Linked DNA regions of Saccharomyces cerevisiae S288C. The gene in region 1 interacts genetically with each later gene. Each region holds a gene or a part of one and is shown on either strand. Other genes may lie near its edges. The genes, in order: NEJ1, YLL006W-A, WTM1 and CLB1.

The links.
Region 2: mutations in NEJ1 (region 1) and YLL006W-A together harm fitness more than expected from each alone (negative genetic interaction), as found in Saccharomyces cerevisiae (one large-scale study listed by BioGRID).
Region 3: mutations in NEJ1 (region 1) and WTM1 together harm fitness more than expected from each alone (negative genetic interaction), as found in Saccharomyces cerevisiae (one large-scale study listed by BioGRID).
Region 4: mutations in NEJ1 (region 1) and CLB1 together harm fitness more than expected from each alone (negative genetic interaction), as found in Saccharomyces cerevisiae (one large-scale study listed by BioGRID).

Annotation. Positions count from the first base shown.
Region 1 is NC_001144.5:673,644-678,174, forward strand, and holds NEJ1 (Nej1p), read right to left. Parts: upstream 1,813-4,531; coding exon 784-1,812; downstream 1-783. Other genes in the region: YLR264C-A (uncharacterized protein), read right to left, coding at 185-301; PDR8 (Pdr8p), read right to left, coding at 1,976-4,081. UniProt on the Saccharomyces cerevisiae protein: Involved in non-homologous end joining (NHEJ). Facilitates the transport of LIF1 into the nucleus, where it can interact with DNA ligase DNL4 to repair double-strand breaks (DSB). Mediates mating-type regulation of NHEJ.
Region 2 is NC_001144.5:133,785-137,021, reverse strand, and holds YLL006W-A (uncharacterized protein), read right to left. Parts: upstream 678-3,237; coding exon 501-677; downstream 1-500. Other genes in the region: ERMES complex subunit MMM1, read right to left, coding at 1-436; LMO1 (Lmo1p), read left to right, coding at 723-2,720; DRS1 (putative ATP-dependent RNA helicase), read right to left, coding at 3,035-3,237.
Region 3 is NC_001147.6:768,523-773,237, reverse strand, and holds WTM1 (transcriptional modulator), read right to left. Parts: upstream 2,439-4,715; coding exon 1,125-2,438; downstream 1-1,124. Other genes in the region: mitogen-activated protein kinase kinase MKK1, read right to left, coding at 1-637; WTM2 (transcriptional modulator), read right to left, coding at 3,426-4,715. UniProt on the Saccharomyces cerevisiae protein: Transcriptional modulator with roles in meiotic regulation and silencing.
Region 4 is NC_001139.9:701,415-705,902, forward strand, and holds CLB1 (B-type cyclin CLB1), read left to right. Parts: upstream 1-2,221; coding exon 2,222-3,637; downstream 3,638-4,488. Other genes in the region: B-type cyclin CLB6, read right to left, coding at 3,945-4,488. UniProt on the Saccharomyces cerevisiae protein: Essential for the control of the cell cycle at the G2/M (mitosis) transition. Interacts with the CDC2 protein kinase to form MPF. G2/M cyclins accumulate steadily during G2 and are abruptly destroyed at mitosis.

The DNA.
Region 1 (4,531 bases):
ACAAATGCGTAGAAATACTCAATGATGTCAATTTTTCAAAAAATGAATTAAATGATTGAAGTCACTTAATTTTTGTGGTTTTTTGGAGGTGGGTTGAGTGTACAACTCACTATAATTGATGAGATATTCGACGAACTTGTTACTTTTTTGGATTCCAGAATGTTTACTGAATTTTAAGAATTAATTAATTTGAGGCTAACCTGTATGGCATGGAATAACGAATCGACAAGAAGTCTCTTACTGTAACTTTCTTTTTTTTTGGTGCATCTATCGTTAAATACAATTTAAATATTACATTCATGTACTTACTCAATATAATAATCTGATTACTTCATACAATAGAAGAGAAAGAAACAGTCTCTAAAACTGCTGTCATAACGCGTGGTGTTGTGGTTTTGCTTAATTTTTTTAGACCCATGCACCAGATATTGATCCAATTTTTTTTTGTGGCTCTTTTGCCAATCGCTCTTATTAAGTAAGTTTACATCCGCGGTTATGTTTTGCGTCTAAATTTCATTTACAGTGATGGCGAGCTTGCGCGGCTATTTTTTATGCAGTTTATCATTTAGACACTCAGAAGCTGCAGTGATGTAAGATACTGCTTGAAACTACCGTTAGATTAATAATAAACAATTAGAACTGTCCTAATACATATAAACTTATATGCTCCCTATCAATGGCATAACGTTACCATTCAATAAATTAACATTATCAATGCGTCAACAAAGGAATAGAACTATTTGAAAGGTCCAACCTTAATTTTTGACGTTTAATTGACTTGCCTTAGTTTTTTATTCTCACCTTTCCAAATTTTCTTTTTTTCTGTGGGTATTCTTCGACCAAAGAAGAACTTGATTTTGTTTTTTCTGGTGTAGCCTCAGATTCAGAAAAATTCTCCAGGCGAAGTTGCGAACTGGTACTACTTTCTCTAGATTTTGGCTTGAAATCTGTCTTTGGTTTAATTTTACCGCGGCTATTTGGTCGAGCCTCATTTGTAGGGTCTGCTTGCAATTCAAAATCATCATTATAAAAATGATTCACCGCAGGAAATCTGACGCGCTCTTTTTTGTTAAGTTCTCCAGATTCTTCAAACCGCGACACATCTTGAAATTTGTTTCTTAAAGATAATAATGTTTTTAATGAGTCCGCCAGAAATTCTTGATGCTGGAATTTTCCTTTATGTAGTAATTTTTTGATTATGTCATCGTCTGTGCATTGCTGCAGAGATTCATAATTCTTAGAATTTTCAGGAGCCCATTGACTGATAACTTTACTCCCACCGTCTAAATCACGAAGAGAAATTAAAAGAAAATCTAAGCATTTTTGCTTTTCATTCAAAATATCCCGTTGTACATAGTGGTATTGGGTGGAAAGGTTTACCAATTTTAATAAAAGCATGCATAAACTTTGCAAAATCATATAGAACATATCCTTAGTAACATGTGAAGGTACGCTATTTATGGAAACTGTAATATCCGCAGATACATCGAAACTAAAAACCAAATTTGAATCTACCAATCCAATTTGGTTAATTTCTTGAGGAGCTTGTAGAATGTCCATTAGTTTTAGTTTAATTAGATTTAATGATATACTATCCGTAAAACCTTGGCTCTGGCATTGCTGTGATAATTGAGTTTGTGAAAGTTTGAAAACGTAGGGAACTAAGCGCTCCAAGGAAACTAAAACAATCATTACAATTGTGGTTGGAGATGACATCGGTAGAAATAATAGGAGACAATTTCCCTCACCATTAATTTTTTTAACACACCATTCTGCATCACTTAGCTGCTGCCCTTTCAACTCAGAATCCATCACACATGTGTAAGATTAACCTCCTATCTGGCCGTTGTTATGGTTATTCTCCATAGGGTTTCCACTTATATGACACTATTTTGTGTTTGCCCGCTGCCAACACTATCATCCCTTTTTGGGACGAAAAAATCCATGTAAAAAAATACATCAATCATAAATACATTTATAAATCGAAATGATATTGTTTATAAAATTTCTTTTTGTCAATGGACCAAAGGTCTTTGGAAATCTCTTTGAACGTTTTCCAAACATCATTAATAAAATCTTCAATCATGAGATCACTGAAGTGCTCCATATTAATGCCCTTTTTCAGCCAAATTTTTTCAGTCTCTATTCTTGCTTGGGACGCTTTATCGAATAAAACCCTACTTACGCGTTCAAACGCCAAAGTTGAAGTTAACTGATAAAAATTGGAAACTGCTTTTAACAATCGCTTATTTCTTTCATTAACAGCAAATATGCTATCAATAATTTCGTAAAATCTTATTATTGTTCCTGAAAATGACAGAAATTTATCAGTCCTAACATCGAATCCTGTCAAAAGTTCATCAAAGTTTTCTTCTTCATATTTAATGAATTGTATTTTTTTCCCAGTGTCAAGGTCAATAAGGAAAAGGAATGCCTTCTCCCTGAAGATTAACCTATTAAATGCTAAACTGTACACTTGCGATACTATTCGTATTAAAAGTGGATTGATTAGAATAATAGACAGTTTTAGCCCTTCAGTTAACACGTTCTCCTGGTCGTTGATAGGCTCTTTAAAATGAAATACCATTGTATTAACACAGACTGATATGGATATCAACAAGAACTGAACCATTCTGTTCTTATCTATGATTCTGCTTTGTTGAGCGATGATCATCTCAATATTGTATATACTAGCAACTATACTTAGAGATCTTGATAAAATCAATATATCAAAGGGATCAATATCAGAGTAGTAAACTGAATTTGTATAATGTTCGATAGGTGAAAAGTTAGATTGTATAAATTCAATCAATCTCAATGAAAAAGTGGTCAATTTTTCGTTCATCTCTCTCTTGTGAATTTCACGAGTAGTGAATCGGGAAACATCTAAAAAATCGTGCATTAGCTTAACTCTCCTAAAGTCAATACTCGGTGATTGGAAATTCTGCGCAGTAAATATACTTAAGTCCAAAAGATCATCTGAAATAGACGGAGGATTACCTATATCATATGAGGTGGATACATCAAGGAATAAAGCCCAAAACCAAATACACCTCAAGTTTTGTTTGGTTTCCTCACTTTCGTTCAAATACCATTTATCAATATCATTTAAACCCAAACTTATGCACCCCTGGCATAGCTCGTTGATTAAGTCAACGCCTTGAGTCGCATCCCATACACCGTCCGTGCAATTTATCATTACACTAATATAGGACAATAAGAAAAATTGTAGTTTTTCCACGAAATTTGAGCTCGATGATGACAAGGACGCTGCACTTAAAGTGTGAAGGAAATGACTCACGGAAGAAGGGATATCTTGGTTATAATAGCCCAAGCAAAGAATTTGAAGTACAATGCCAAGATTATACTTATCTTTTGCATTACCTTGCAAATCGAGGAGGATGACTAGGTTCTTGTCCGTGGTATCTCTAATAAAAAGTCTGTCCAAGAGGGACAGAATATCGTCTTGGTTGAAGATATGCAATATGCCGAACAGCGGTCCAGCAAAAAAAGATTTAATACAGCTTTCCATTTGAGGAAAACTAGGCAAATCTGCTACAACATCATTTTCATTTAATTGCGATTTAGTGCATTCAGGAAGTGGTTTCAAGACTTTCCATAAATTTTGAAACTCAGTTTGAAACTTATTTTGTTCAAACAAAGATAAAGTTTTCCAGGAAGTGGGGCCAAACACATACCTCGAGCCATTATCACCTAAAACCGAAGTTCTCAGTGACCGTAATGGATTTTCTGAACTCCTGCAATACACCGGTTTCGCATTATTGTTATCGTTTTCCTTCAGTAGAGTCTGCAAATTCTCAATCTTCTGAACCAACGCTACATTGGGCACTTGCTCGAACAGTTCCGTATTAGACAAGGGATAGTTGAACTCTTCTGTGTAAACGCATTGCGGTAGTTTTCTAATTACACATTGCTGACACATAGGCCTGGCCTGACTGCATTTCAGTTTTCTTTTTCTACAAAATGCACATGACTTGATGACCTTCCTCCTCTTGCCCTTCTTACCACTTGAAACGGGCTCTCCGGTAGTAGATTTCATAGGAAAATGGGATCCATCCATCCCAACAAACTAAGTGCCGTTTGCCTCTTTCTTATTCGTCCCGTACCAACCACGTGTTTTCCACCTGTCATGGGCTTTTCAAGAGTTTGTCAACGCGGAAAGGCGCCGCATTGCACCTTGTCGTGATGTATTCTAAGTACAAGTAGTAAAGAAGTAATGACCCTGTTGTTATTGCTCCACTGCTGACCGCTGTTAATGCCTCTTCATGATTTCTGAGTCATTGTTGTACCCTCTGGCGAATAAGCCACTGTTGGTTTTGTGTGCATGTTGGAAAGGCGTTGCAACGGACTGTAACTCCACACACGAAAGAACCCTTAATTTTCAGCCGCTCGTTATTTTATTCAGTTGATCATTTCTTGTATAAATAGATTTAAGCAAATTTAAAGTTGATGATTCTATCTTCACAGCTAGAGCTCTACGTGAAATTTGTGCAATATATAGGCTGTGATT
Region 2 (3,237 bases), 540 kb from region 1:
GATATTCTTTAAATTTTGATCTGTGACGGGAGGCTGCAGGTTTCGGATTCTTACTTTTAGATGGCTCATCACTGAATATAAAGAACTTTAGGAAAAAGATGAACAACAACACTATGCTTAGCTGTCCTACAAAAAACCCTTGAGCAAACGACCATCCAGAAAATTTGGAGGACGTTGCTAACGATCCTAACGAAGAAGGATGCAACACGCTTTGCATTTGCAAAGCTTGAATTGCATCATCGAGACCTTTGAAGCTCCCGTTTTTACTGACATTAAACTCTGAGTTGTTTGAAGTTTGCTTTAAGTCATTAGTAGTAGAACCCTTCAAATTCTCCATGATTAGTCTCTGTAAATGTTCAGGTAGCTCTTTGCTTATATAATCGTCAAACGTCATTAACGAATCCGTTTCGGTGGATTCATTCTCACTATCAGTCATTTTCAGAAAAAGGCTACAGGTATTATATTGACTCTCTCAAAGTTCTTTCATCTCATTGAGAAAATTATGAGGGGCACTTATTGTTGTAGATGATCTTTATTGGATGTTGACGGTTCTTCGGAATTGAAACGGATAGGCAGAAAGTGAAAAAATAAACTATTAAGGAAATACATGAAAAGAAGTAAACTGAAATGTATACAAGGGCAACCCGTTCCACGTTGGATTGACTCAATTGTGTCATCAGTAGGAAAATAGATTAAAGTAACCTCAAATAACGGCATAAGCAATGAAGCATAACAGGCAGATGCCAGATGAAAGCTTGGAAAACATAAAAGTGCTACTGAATCCTAAATTAGGAAAGCCAGTCAAGTCACTTACGAGTGCACAATCAAAAGCTTGCTATCATACGCTGATCAGTAATAAAAATTTGAACAAGACAAGTGATGAATACGAAAAGTTATTGGCAAACTATATCCTCCTTTGTGATGAAAAATACCTATGTAAAACCGTAATTCCAGATTCCCGATTTTGGGCTATATTGTGTGATAATTGCCAAAAGCTAAGGTCAGAAACGTTGGTAGCAAATCTCATTAGGATTTTTAATGTAGCCCTTAAATGCCAAGATTCTAATAAGAATGAAGTTATTGTGAGCATCTGCCACATCTCCAGAGAGAACTCTCAGCTCATTGGAATACTTTTACAACTTTTGTCCCAAAGACCTATTCATATACCGTTGTTTACGGACACTATACTATGCATAACCCTATTTTTAAAATGCTCACTTACATTATGTGAGACATCACTATCACACGCCGTAGAATTTGTACCCAGAATCCTCATTTTGCTATTTCAGTATAACTTTCCAGCTTCCATGTCTGAATTACTTTACATAGAAGACTTGCAACCACTAATCCTTGAAGAATTTGTACCGTTAAAGCAGAGGCTAATAAATTTTCTATCTTCGGTTAGTATTGATGATTATTCCTGTTCGCTTAAAGCTGATCTTCTTACAGCCATCAAAGATAACTCCGTATTCCAAAAAGGGTTAGAAATGGAAATGGGCGATCTTCCCAGTATAAATTTATTAAATGCGTATGATACATTCACATTCTTAAACAGTCCTAATGGGTCTTTCAAGAGACTTTACACTGAACAATTGTTGTTTGGCGAGAACGATTTCCCTCTTTATGAAGCAATATTTAAACTTTCAGACCAATTTAGAAGACTTTTCAATCTAAGTGGGAAAAAAGAGAACCAATACTCAGACTCAGAGCGTGATTTAAAATTACAAATTGCTACCGCTGTTCTCAATCGACAAACATGTTTTTACAAAACACTCGAGTTGTTTTTGAGATTTTGGATAGAATCATTAGCAAAATCGCAAAGTGATTTGGTTTCACTGTTAAATTTAGCTATTATCACTTTAAAATATGTTTGTTTGTCATCCAGTGATTTGGAAGCAGCAATACAGACGAAATCCCTTCTCAAGACCCAAGTTGTTGCACTTGACTCTATGAGATATAAATTTGCAAGAACATTACAATTAGACTCAATCAAAAAAGAACAGTATCGAACCTGGTCATCTAGTATCGCTAGCTTCGATACCATGCTATCAGGCCAGGTTCGTGATTACGTTCGTCATCAAAGACTTCTTCAATTGCAAAAGGGAACGTGGGTTTACGCAGAGAACCCACTGAATCCTGAAGCTGGCACGCCTAAAGTCTACTTCCTCATAGTTTCAGATAACCACGCAAATTTATTAGCCAGAGAATTCGAAACACAAACAAACGATTTACCTTATCTATTCGACAATAAAATTTTAACAAGTCCAGGTTCTGAGGCATTAGCTAATGGCAGAACAAAAGTTGTTGTTTTGAAACATATAACCTCTTTCAAAAGCATAGAACTTACTACACCGAGTCGTCGGACGAGCAGTAATGTTTACATCAAATTAGATGAAGCCAATGTGTACACTGGAGTTGAATTAAAAGATCGTAACGACAGGACAGTTTTGAAATTTTATTTAGACACAGAAGAGGGAAGATATATATGGCTAGACGGATTGAAATTGATATCTCCATTCCAGCATGAAGATATATCAGAAGACACGAAAGAACAAATAGACACTTTATTTGATTTGAGGAAAAATGTTCAGATGATAAATTTGAACGTTCGTCAGGACATCATAGTGCCTCCACCTGAACCAAGCGACGAGGACGAAGATGAAGAATTTTATAACTTGGAAACGTTAAAGAAAGTAACCCAAAATTTTTATTTTGATTAAGATACAAATTTGTCGTCAGACGATTTTTTTTTATTTATAACTTTTTTTTACTAGAATGGAATGTAATTTTGTAATTCTTTCCCGCAAGTAGCTTGAGTCTCCATTCAGTTCGTTTGTACTTGAAAAATCCTTTTAATATAGCATATAGCTTGCAGTTTATTAATACTCACTTCTACAGATTCAACAAAAAAAAAGGAATTTTTGACTAATCCCCTGTTTATTAGATGAATTAATGATATTTAAATACAAAGTATTAATAATATAATGACAGTGATAAGTATGTTGATATTTTATGATAATGACGATGAAAATTATTACCTACGGCTTTTGAAGCCCTTCTTCTTATTTGAATTTGTACTCTTCTGCTTTTTAAAAGTTCTTTCTTGATCTGCAATACGGTCGGTTTTGGTTTTTCTATAAGAACGTGCACCATTGCCATCTGCCTTAGCTTCTTCACGCTTTCTCTTTTTGCTGTTAGTGACTTTCTTGTTCCTTGATAAAGCACCTAATACTTTGG
Region 3 (4,715 bases), on another chromosome or scaffold:
TCCAACCATTTTCATCCAATTGATCAACATCTCGTACACTGTTTAAGTCTATGTACGATTCAGAAGATGATTTAGGCTGGGACGATGACTTGATGGGACTTGAACTTTGTTCATATGCCGATATCAAATTTGAAAAGTCAGATCCCACTGAATTGCTCAGATCATTTCTGAGGTAGGGAGAAGAGGTGTTTGTATGTGAAAAGGGGCTTGCCATCGATGAAGGGGTTAAGTCACTATTACCAGACAACTCATTTTCGGCTATCACACGCTGTTTCAATCCTAAATCATGTTTACCATCAGACACATCGGCGATGGGTACGAGTTCGGGTAGTGTTTTGCACTTAGACTGTGAATTTATGCTGAGCGAAGGTAAAGATGGCGGTGCAGGCCTCTTCTTCATTGTATTTAAAGTCATTGAAGAGTCGCTAGGATGAAGTCGAGTTTGGGAGAAAAGTGTCGATGTGGAAGAGGTCAGTGGTTCTGGGGTGTGGCTACTGTAAGCTGTGGTGGAACTCCCATTCGACGTCAAGTATATATTATTTTCATCTACCTGATTATTTCGTAAGAGGGGCAGTTTAAGTCTAGGAGAGTTTGGGTTGCATTTCGCAGATTCTGGGGGTCTGAACAGTGAAGCCATACTGGGCAAATTGTGCAATGGAAGGATAGAGTTAATTTGGTCTATGTACACTGCGAGAAATACGCAACCATAAATGAAACGCAAGTTATGAAAAACCGGATCCAACCCTACCAGAGACCAACTTTCTTTTTAAATTGTGCCAAATTTTTGCTGCCCTTTAAAATAGAACTTCCTTATTCTGAGCCGTCACACGCCTTAATGATAATCAGTCGATCCGATTTTTCAATTGTCGCAATGACCTGAGAAATATAATTGCTCGTGTATAGTGACTTATTCGCCAGCAGGTGTACGGTATCTTTCATCAGTAGTAAGTATTGTTTAATTAAATATTGAATAATAAATATACTAACAGTAGCTCATACATAACTTTAGGCGCGCACTTTCATCACACAGGGTAAAGAAACCAGCCCTGGGTGAGAAAAACTAATAATAGTTAAAAGCATTAAATATATAAATATGGCCTTGTTCCGCGCGTTTAGCATGGCGACTATTCGCTTTCCTCGGTATAGGGCTTGTAGATGCTGACTAAACTATCGTCATCGACAGTACCAACCAAGTTTTCAATAACTGGATGCCAAGCGGCGGTGTTTCTTCTTCCAATCTGTTTTGGAGATCTTCTGCTTCCACCCTTGTGCAAGAATCTCAGAGATTTTGTTTGTGATTCTTCAGTGGCATCTTGAGGAGGAGCAATGGTATCGTCAGGATTGTACTTTGACAAGGAATAGTCAGTGTTCCAGTGGTAAATATTACCAGTGCCGCCCACAGTAAAGAATTCAGAGCTTGAAGTGGCAGAAAATTGGACGTCGACAACAGAATCACCGCCGGCATGATAGAAGTTAGCGATTTCATTCTGAATTGGATCTTCACCGTTTTGTCTATAAGTCAAATCAGTGGTGGCAGCTTCAGCCGCTCTGGCATCCCATAACTTGATAATACCCGTACTGAAACCGGTAACAAACAAGTTGTTGGAAACCTGAGAGCAATCAAACGAGGTCAATTTTCCGTTCTTTGGTTCTCCCAACACCCATATAGGCTTGTCGGAAGTTCTAGTGTCCCAGAACCTCAGAATATTGTCATCTGAACAAGACGCAAAGATATGATTGTCGAAAAATCTTACGGTGTGAGTCACAGTGGTACCAGGCACATGAACAGTACGTAGAATCTCACCAGGCTTACCGGCATTGTCAATGATTTTCAAAATACTGTCTTCTTCATCACCATTACTCTGAGACTTCACAATGGTTTCGGTATCATTGGAAATGCCGAAGTCAGAGATGGCTAATGAGAAATCCTTTTCAGGTAGATCACCAGGTCTGGTTAAAGAATGGATGCTGGCATAGCTGGTTGCTGGACCCATCAATTCCTGTACAATGTGAATAGGGACCTTTATACCCTCTTTGAACCAAGCCAACGACCCGTTCTTAGACATCGACAATAATGTAGTTTCTCCAGTCTTATCTAAGTAGGCCATTTTGGAGACAGTTTCACCCTGGTACACGAATTTTGGGCTCAACGAGGTGTTTTCAATACCTTCAAAGGCGTCACCATAGTCTTTCACCGGTTCTGAAGCGGCTTCTTGTAGTGGTACAGCGAAGTCAATTTCGTAGATATCACTACCTTGAGAGTATATAACACTTGAGGTTAGAGTGTTATTTTTTTTATCTGGAACAACAACGTTGCTGAACGTCAAGGACTTCCTTTGGTGCAGAACATTGTCCACACGAGACACAAATTTTGGTCTTAAGCTGGAGATATGTTCATAAGTGGAAGGCGTAGATGATTTCCAAACCTTTTTTGGCATTTTTGGTTGTAATGTATAGTGTGTTACAATTTATTTGTATCTTTCAAGATTGGTTGATTAATAATTAATTTTCTTATCTAATATCTACAATTCAGGCGAATATAAACTTTTCGGATCTTCTTTTTTCCCTCCCTTTATACTGGAAGCTACAGAACTGAAAAAAAAAAAAAAAAAACATAGAACATTAAGGGGACAGACTGCATGGAAAAGGAAAAGGTAAAAAAAAGCCCCGAAATGGTACTCTTAAATATGAGATGATAAACGAGGATTCGAAGGAAAATAGCCCAACTATCTACGAGTTGAAATTAAAAGGGAGTAGTGAGCGCCACTATGTGTGCTCACTGTGTATAGCTAAGCAATTACATAAGGGATAGTACATAAACCACCGTATGTTAGGAAAGAGGAAAAAAAGGAAAGACAAAGGTCTTTTGCCTATTGTATGACTTAGCCTTTCTTTGTTATACCCCGGCGCGTTCCAAAAAGGGAAGCCAGCACAGCACCGCATATTGAATACCGCCTTCTCACGTGGTACAGGCACAACTATCTTGCATGTGCCTCTGGGTCTTTCTTAGCGACAGCCTTTTAAGATTCTGAATTGTAAACATCGAGCTTCATCCGAGAAACGAAAGAGGGAATCTTGAAATGGACTATGTCACCATTAGATCCTCCCTCTTCTCCATATAGCCGGTTTTTGTCTTATTTCTTTGCTGGAAAGAAAAAAAAGAAATTGCTTGGTTAATTACTGGTAACCCTCTTTTCTTGAGGCCTTACTTCGTTGGCTTCAGAAATCTGAAAGAGTCTTTATTAGGAGCGATACCAGTATCTATACAACATTATACCATCACTATATATTACAAAAAAAAAAATAACCCCGATAGCGTGCTAGAAATGAATAAAAAAAAAAAAAACAGAATTATGTACGTGAATGCTTGTGAGTTACTGCCTTTCCCATAGGTGGTAACGTTAATTTCTTACTCTTTTTTTTTTTTAATCGTCGTAACCTCTGCCAATGAAGTCACTGGCCAGAAATGGTTTGTAGGCAGTAACAAGACTATCTGAATCAACAGTGCCAACAAAATCATTGATTACGGGGTGTAGCGCCACAGTGTTCCTCTTCCCGAATTGGTTGCTCGATCTTCTTGTGCCACCTGTGTGGAAAAATTTTAAACATTGACCCTGAAGTTCCTCCGGAGCAGCCACTCGAACTTCGTCTTCGTTGTCATCGTCGTTTCTTGAAAAAGAGTACTCCATGTCCCAGTGGTAGACATTACCCGTTCCTCCAACCGTAACAAATTCTGTTGCAGAGGTTTGTGAGAACAGGATATCGACAACGGAATCGCCGCCAGAATGGAACAACTTGGCTATTTCGTTTTGGATCGGTTCCTCGCCGTTCTGCCTATGTGTGAGGTCAGTAGTAGCCAGTTGCACAGCACGCGCATCCCATAGCTTGATGACACCCGTGCTGAACCCAGTGACAAATAGGTTTTCAGTAACTTGAGAGGAATCGAAGGACGTTAGTCGTCCATTTTTCGGTTCGCTTAGCGTCCAAAGCGGTTTGTCCGCTGTTCTTGTGTCCCAGAATCTTAAAATGTTGTCATCTGAACAAGATGCAAATAAATGGTTGTTAAAAAATCTAACTGAGTGAGCCACGTTGGTCCCTGGAACGTGCACTGTACGTAATATATCTCCCGGTCTATCGGAGTTGTCGATGATTTTCAAGATGCTGTCCTCCTCGTAGCCGTTACTTTGTGACTTTACTACCGTATCCATATTTGTCGACACATCAAAATCTGACACTGCTAATGAACCTGGTCTGGTTAGAGAGTGAATACTAGAGTATCTAGTAGCAGGGCCCATCATTTCCTGTACGATATGAACGGGAACCTTGATCTCATCTCTGAACCATGCCAAAGAGCCGTTCTTGGACATCGCGATCGCCGTACTGTCGTCTGAGCTTTCCAAGTATTGCATTTTTGCCACTGTTTCGCCCTGGTAAATCCACTTTGGGCGCAATGGTTTCCCCTCAACATCTTGGAAAGCATCACCATACTCTGGATTTGGGGTGGCTGCAGACTTCGTCTTGCCGTTACCTTCTTCGTCGTCGTCGTCGTTGTCGTCGTCGTCGTCGTCGTCATAGAATGTCTTTAATGGTAAAGTAGTGTCTATTTCGTAAATATCACTACCTTGAGAATATAAAAGACTAGTCGTCAAGGTGCCCTTGGATTTGTCTGGAATAATCTCACTTCTCCATGTCAGTGTCTTGCTAAAATGTAAAAC
Region 4 (4,488 bases), on another chromosome or scaffold:
AATTACAGATTCCTTTTTGGGGATTTCTATATTCTCGAGGAGGAATTTTAATGCATTCCGTATGCCCATTAATATGGCATTTGATAACAATGAATCCCAAAAACTGTTCCAAGATTCATATATTTCTCGCACCCGTTCCCCTAAACTTTATCCCATCTTAGCGGGTTGAATCCACGTTAACGTTCCACTAGTAGATTTTCCACTTCTGTTACACTTACTGCGCAAGTGGCTCGTTTATCGTTTATTTACTTTGAAACAGTGCGACGGCACTACAAAGGAGCGCGTAACAAACGTTACTATCCCGTTTCATTGTTTCAGATTATCACCATAGTTACATATGTAGGGAATGGCAACCAACCTGTTCCAACATTCTATTCAGACCGAGAAAATCCAGTAGGACTTAACGGTGGTTCCGAAATTCTATTTATATCATTGCTATTAGCTTTATGTATATTGGCAATTGAAGCGGTTCTTCTTCATGACATAATAGTCCATCAACTGTTCGTGCAATTGATACAAATTAATTTTGAAGGCAATATTTAAGTTTGGTTTTCTTACGCAGAATACTTTTTAAAGTATCAACTTTCGTGCATCAGCTTCTGTCAGGTTCAATGATTGTTTAATTCTGGTCTTCAGGTCATATAATTTCACACCATTTTTTATCATCGCTTCTTGAAAATTCGATGTAAGGTAAATAATAGCTTCAGTTTGTTGCATGAGTAATATGCGGAAGATAACTGATTGTTATTTTAGCAGAAATCAATCAAGATGAAAATATCCACTACTTCGAAAATACGTAGCAAGCCAAGTTCAATCGGTAATCTATAGGTTCGGCAAGAGACTTTGCAATGCTAATGTTTACATTTCCTTGCCACAGTTCTCGTTGGAAACAAGCCTAATGTTAACGTATTTTCACCCGCATTAAACTACAATTGTTTTGGACGTAAGAATTTACAGCGCAATTGTTCTTTTCTATTTTATCATTACGATTGTTCCAAGAGCTTCTTGCGTTATTTACCATATATTCTTGATCTATGAATGATAATAAACAAGAGTAAATGAATGTTTTATATGTTCATAATGACAACAACTGGGGGGGAAATGAAAATATTTATCTTCTATTCATAGTAAAAATAATCTTAAAATTGAAACTAACGCTGAAAACTGCAACAGTTACGGCATTTTTTATTGATGCGTAAAAGCATTGTCTTTGTCAATTTTTGAACTATCGAATTGCTCCATAATATCATTCATGGTGTTATCCAATTATTTAGTAAGCTTCGCTTGTACTCAGTCATTTTTTTTTTTTGCATCCAATTTTATTGAAAGTCCGCCCGCTCTGTTAAAAAAGGCGTTTCTTCCAAATTTGAATAGGACACGATCGAGATTCCCTCCGATTAATTATGTGCTACTGGCTCCTCTTTCGTCGTATTGCAAGTGGACTTTTCAACGAGGCTATGCATGCCCAGTGTCATTCTTGAAGCAGGCACACACAGACGCGCTTCAATTAGTTTTCTTTACTAGATGCATCATTTGGGCGGTTTTTCACTACCGTTTTCGAGTAGGGGCTCTCACAAAACGGGCACGACCTTTTGTTTACAACCGCCCAAAGAGGAAAAACATCAACAATCAAGAAGCGGACACAAAATATAGAAGCACCATAAAACTCACGTCAACGGTAACTTTAAATTTGTTGTATTAATTAATCATTTTCAACTTGCATTTTTACAGCATCATTTATGGGTATCCTGCAAGTTAGGTGCGGAACGTACATAACATATTACTTCAATTTGCGTTCCGCATACGGTCTGCCCAATTTGTTTTGTTTGTGATTTCCTCATTCGTCTTCCTCTGCAGAAACGGGTTTGATCCTTCTTTTATGAATACGGCGTGTAGTTATATATATTAAGTAATAGAAGTTATTGCACTTCTGTGTAAGAAGAAGATACTAGGGTGATCTATTCTAGGCAATTTTGGTTGTATTGTGTTTTTTACATTCGGCCAAACTTGAGCAGGCTGCAATTTTAGTGTCTTCGGTTTTTCCAGCGACAGTTTTACTTGTGGCTCTTGGTATAGTTTCTTAAAACTATTAAAGTTGCTAACTGGTGCAGCTGTTTAGATCACAAAAGCGTAATTAAGAATAAGATCTACCAACAAGAACAGAGCCAAAATATTTTCGTCCGTTATATCAACCATCAAAGGAAGCTTTAATCTTCTCATAATGTCACGATCCCTTTTGGTAGAGAATAGTAGAACCATTAATAGTAATGAAGAGAAGGGGGTAAACGAAAGTCAATATATCTTACAAAAGAGAAACGTCCCAAGGACCATTCTCGGTAATGTCACAAATAATGCAAATATCCTGCAAGAGATTTCTATGAACAGAAAAATTGGGATGAAGAACTTCTCAAAATTGAACAACTTCTTTCCTTTAAAGGATGATGTTTCGAGAGCCGATGACTTCACCTCCTCTTTTAATGACAGTAGACAGGGGGTGAAACAAGAAGTACTAAACAATAAGGAAAATATTCCTGAATATGGATATTCCGAGCAAGAAAAGCAGCAGTGCTCAAATGATGACTCTTTTCATACGAATTCGACTGCCTTGAGCTGTAATCGGTTGATATACTCTGAGAACAAGTCTATTTCCACTCAAATGGAATGGCAGAAAAAAATAATGAGAGAAGATTCCAAAAAAAAAAGGCCAATATCAACTCTTGTAGAGCAGGATGACCAGAAAAAGTTCAAACTCCATGAATTGACTACAGAAGAAGAGGTTCTGGAGGAGTACGAATGGGATGACCTAGATGAAGAAGATTGTGATGATCCCTTAATGGTGAGCGAAGAGGTTAATGATATCTTCGATTATTTGCATCACTTGGAAATAATCACATTGCCAAATAAGGCGAATCTCTATAAGCATAAAAATATTAAGCAAAACAGAGACATTTTGGTGAACTGGATAATCAAGATTCATAATAAGTTTGGCCTTCTGCCGGAAACTCTATATTTGGCCATAAACATAATGGATAGATTTCTTTGTGAAGAGGTGGTTCAGTTAAATAGATTGCAACTGGTTGGTACATCATGCCTGTTCATCGCATCTAAGTATGAGGAAATATACTCCCCTAGCATAAAACATTTTGCGTACGAGACAGACGGTGCATGCTCTGTGGAAGATATTAAAGAGGGTGAAAGATTTATATTGGAAAAACTCGATTTTCAAATTAGTTTCGCTAACCCAATGAATTTCTTAAGGAGAATATCAAAAGCGGATGACTATGATATCCAGTCTAGGACGTTAGCGAAGTTCCTAATGGAAATATCTATAGTGGACTTCAAGTTCATCGGGATATTACCGTCATTATGTGCCTCAGCGGCAATGTTCCTTTCGAGAAAAATGCTGGGCAAGGGCACCTGGGATGGCAACTTAATCCATTATAGTGGTGGTTACACAAAGGCAAAACTATATCCCGTTTGCCAATTACTGATGGATTATCTTGTTGGATCTACTATTCACGACGAGTTCTTGAAAAAATATCAATCGAGAAGATTTTTAAAGGCTTCCATAATTTCTATCGAATGGGCATTGAAGGTAAGGAAAAATGGATATGATATTATGACATTGCATGAGTGAAGGTGCTAGCCTACACAGAAAACCAAAATCTCACTTCCTTACTTTATCATCTATTTTATAGAAAAATCAGGCATTCATTATTCATATAACGGTTATCTCATATATATTATCACACGGTATCAGTTTTGTAGGCTGTAATAATTAATTCATTTATAAATTTTTTCTCCCATAATTGGAAAATTATCTTTAAAGTGAGGAATAATGCATTTTCTTTCTTTTTTTGAATACATAAAAGAAATAAAGAAGTATGTCTATCGATGATATTTAAGATGCAGGGGGTTAGCTGGCTATAATTTTGATCTATGTTTCAACGTTTTTGTTTACACCAGTCAAAAACCTTGAAATAAACCATGCCATGTTTAGGCTTTTTGTATTTAAGTCTCAAGGAATCTAGATTCGTATCAGGTACAGCAATATCTTCAACTAGTTCACTGATAAAATCCTTAAACGCTGGATCTGATTCAATATCAATGCCGCCACTATAATGAATAAAAGTTTCATCCCATTTGGAATTTTCATTTTTAATTTTTCTGGCGATATACATGGACATTGCAGCTAAATATGATGGCTTCAGGTGGATGAATTTATTACAACAAATCGAATATTCCATGATGAATTTGGCCATGTTCCTTGTTTCAATGCAGTAATTGTCAGCTTTTGAAATTCTCCTAATGAAATTTAGGGGGTTTGGTAGAGATATGTTATAACCTAAAGAACTTAGAACGAATAGCTCAGCCTTCCTAATTCCTTCGACAGTGGCAGCACCGTCAGTCACGTACGCAAAATTTGTTATTTTTGGTAATTTAACTTCTTCAAATTTACAGGCAATGAACAGGCAAGTGATGCATAGT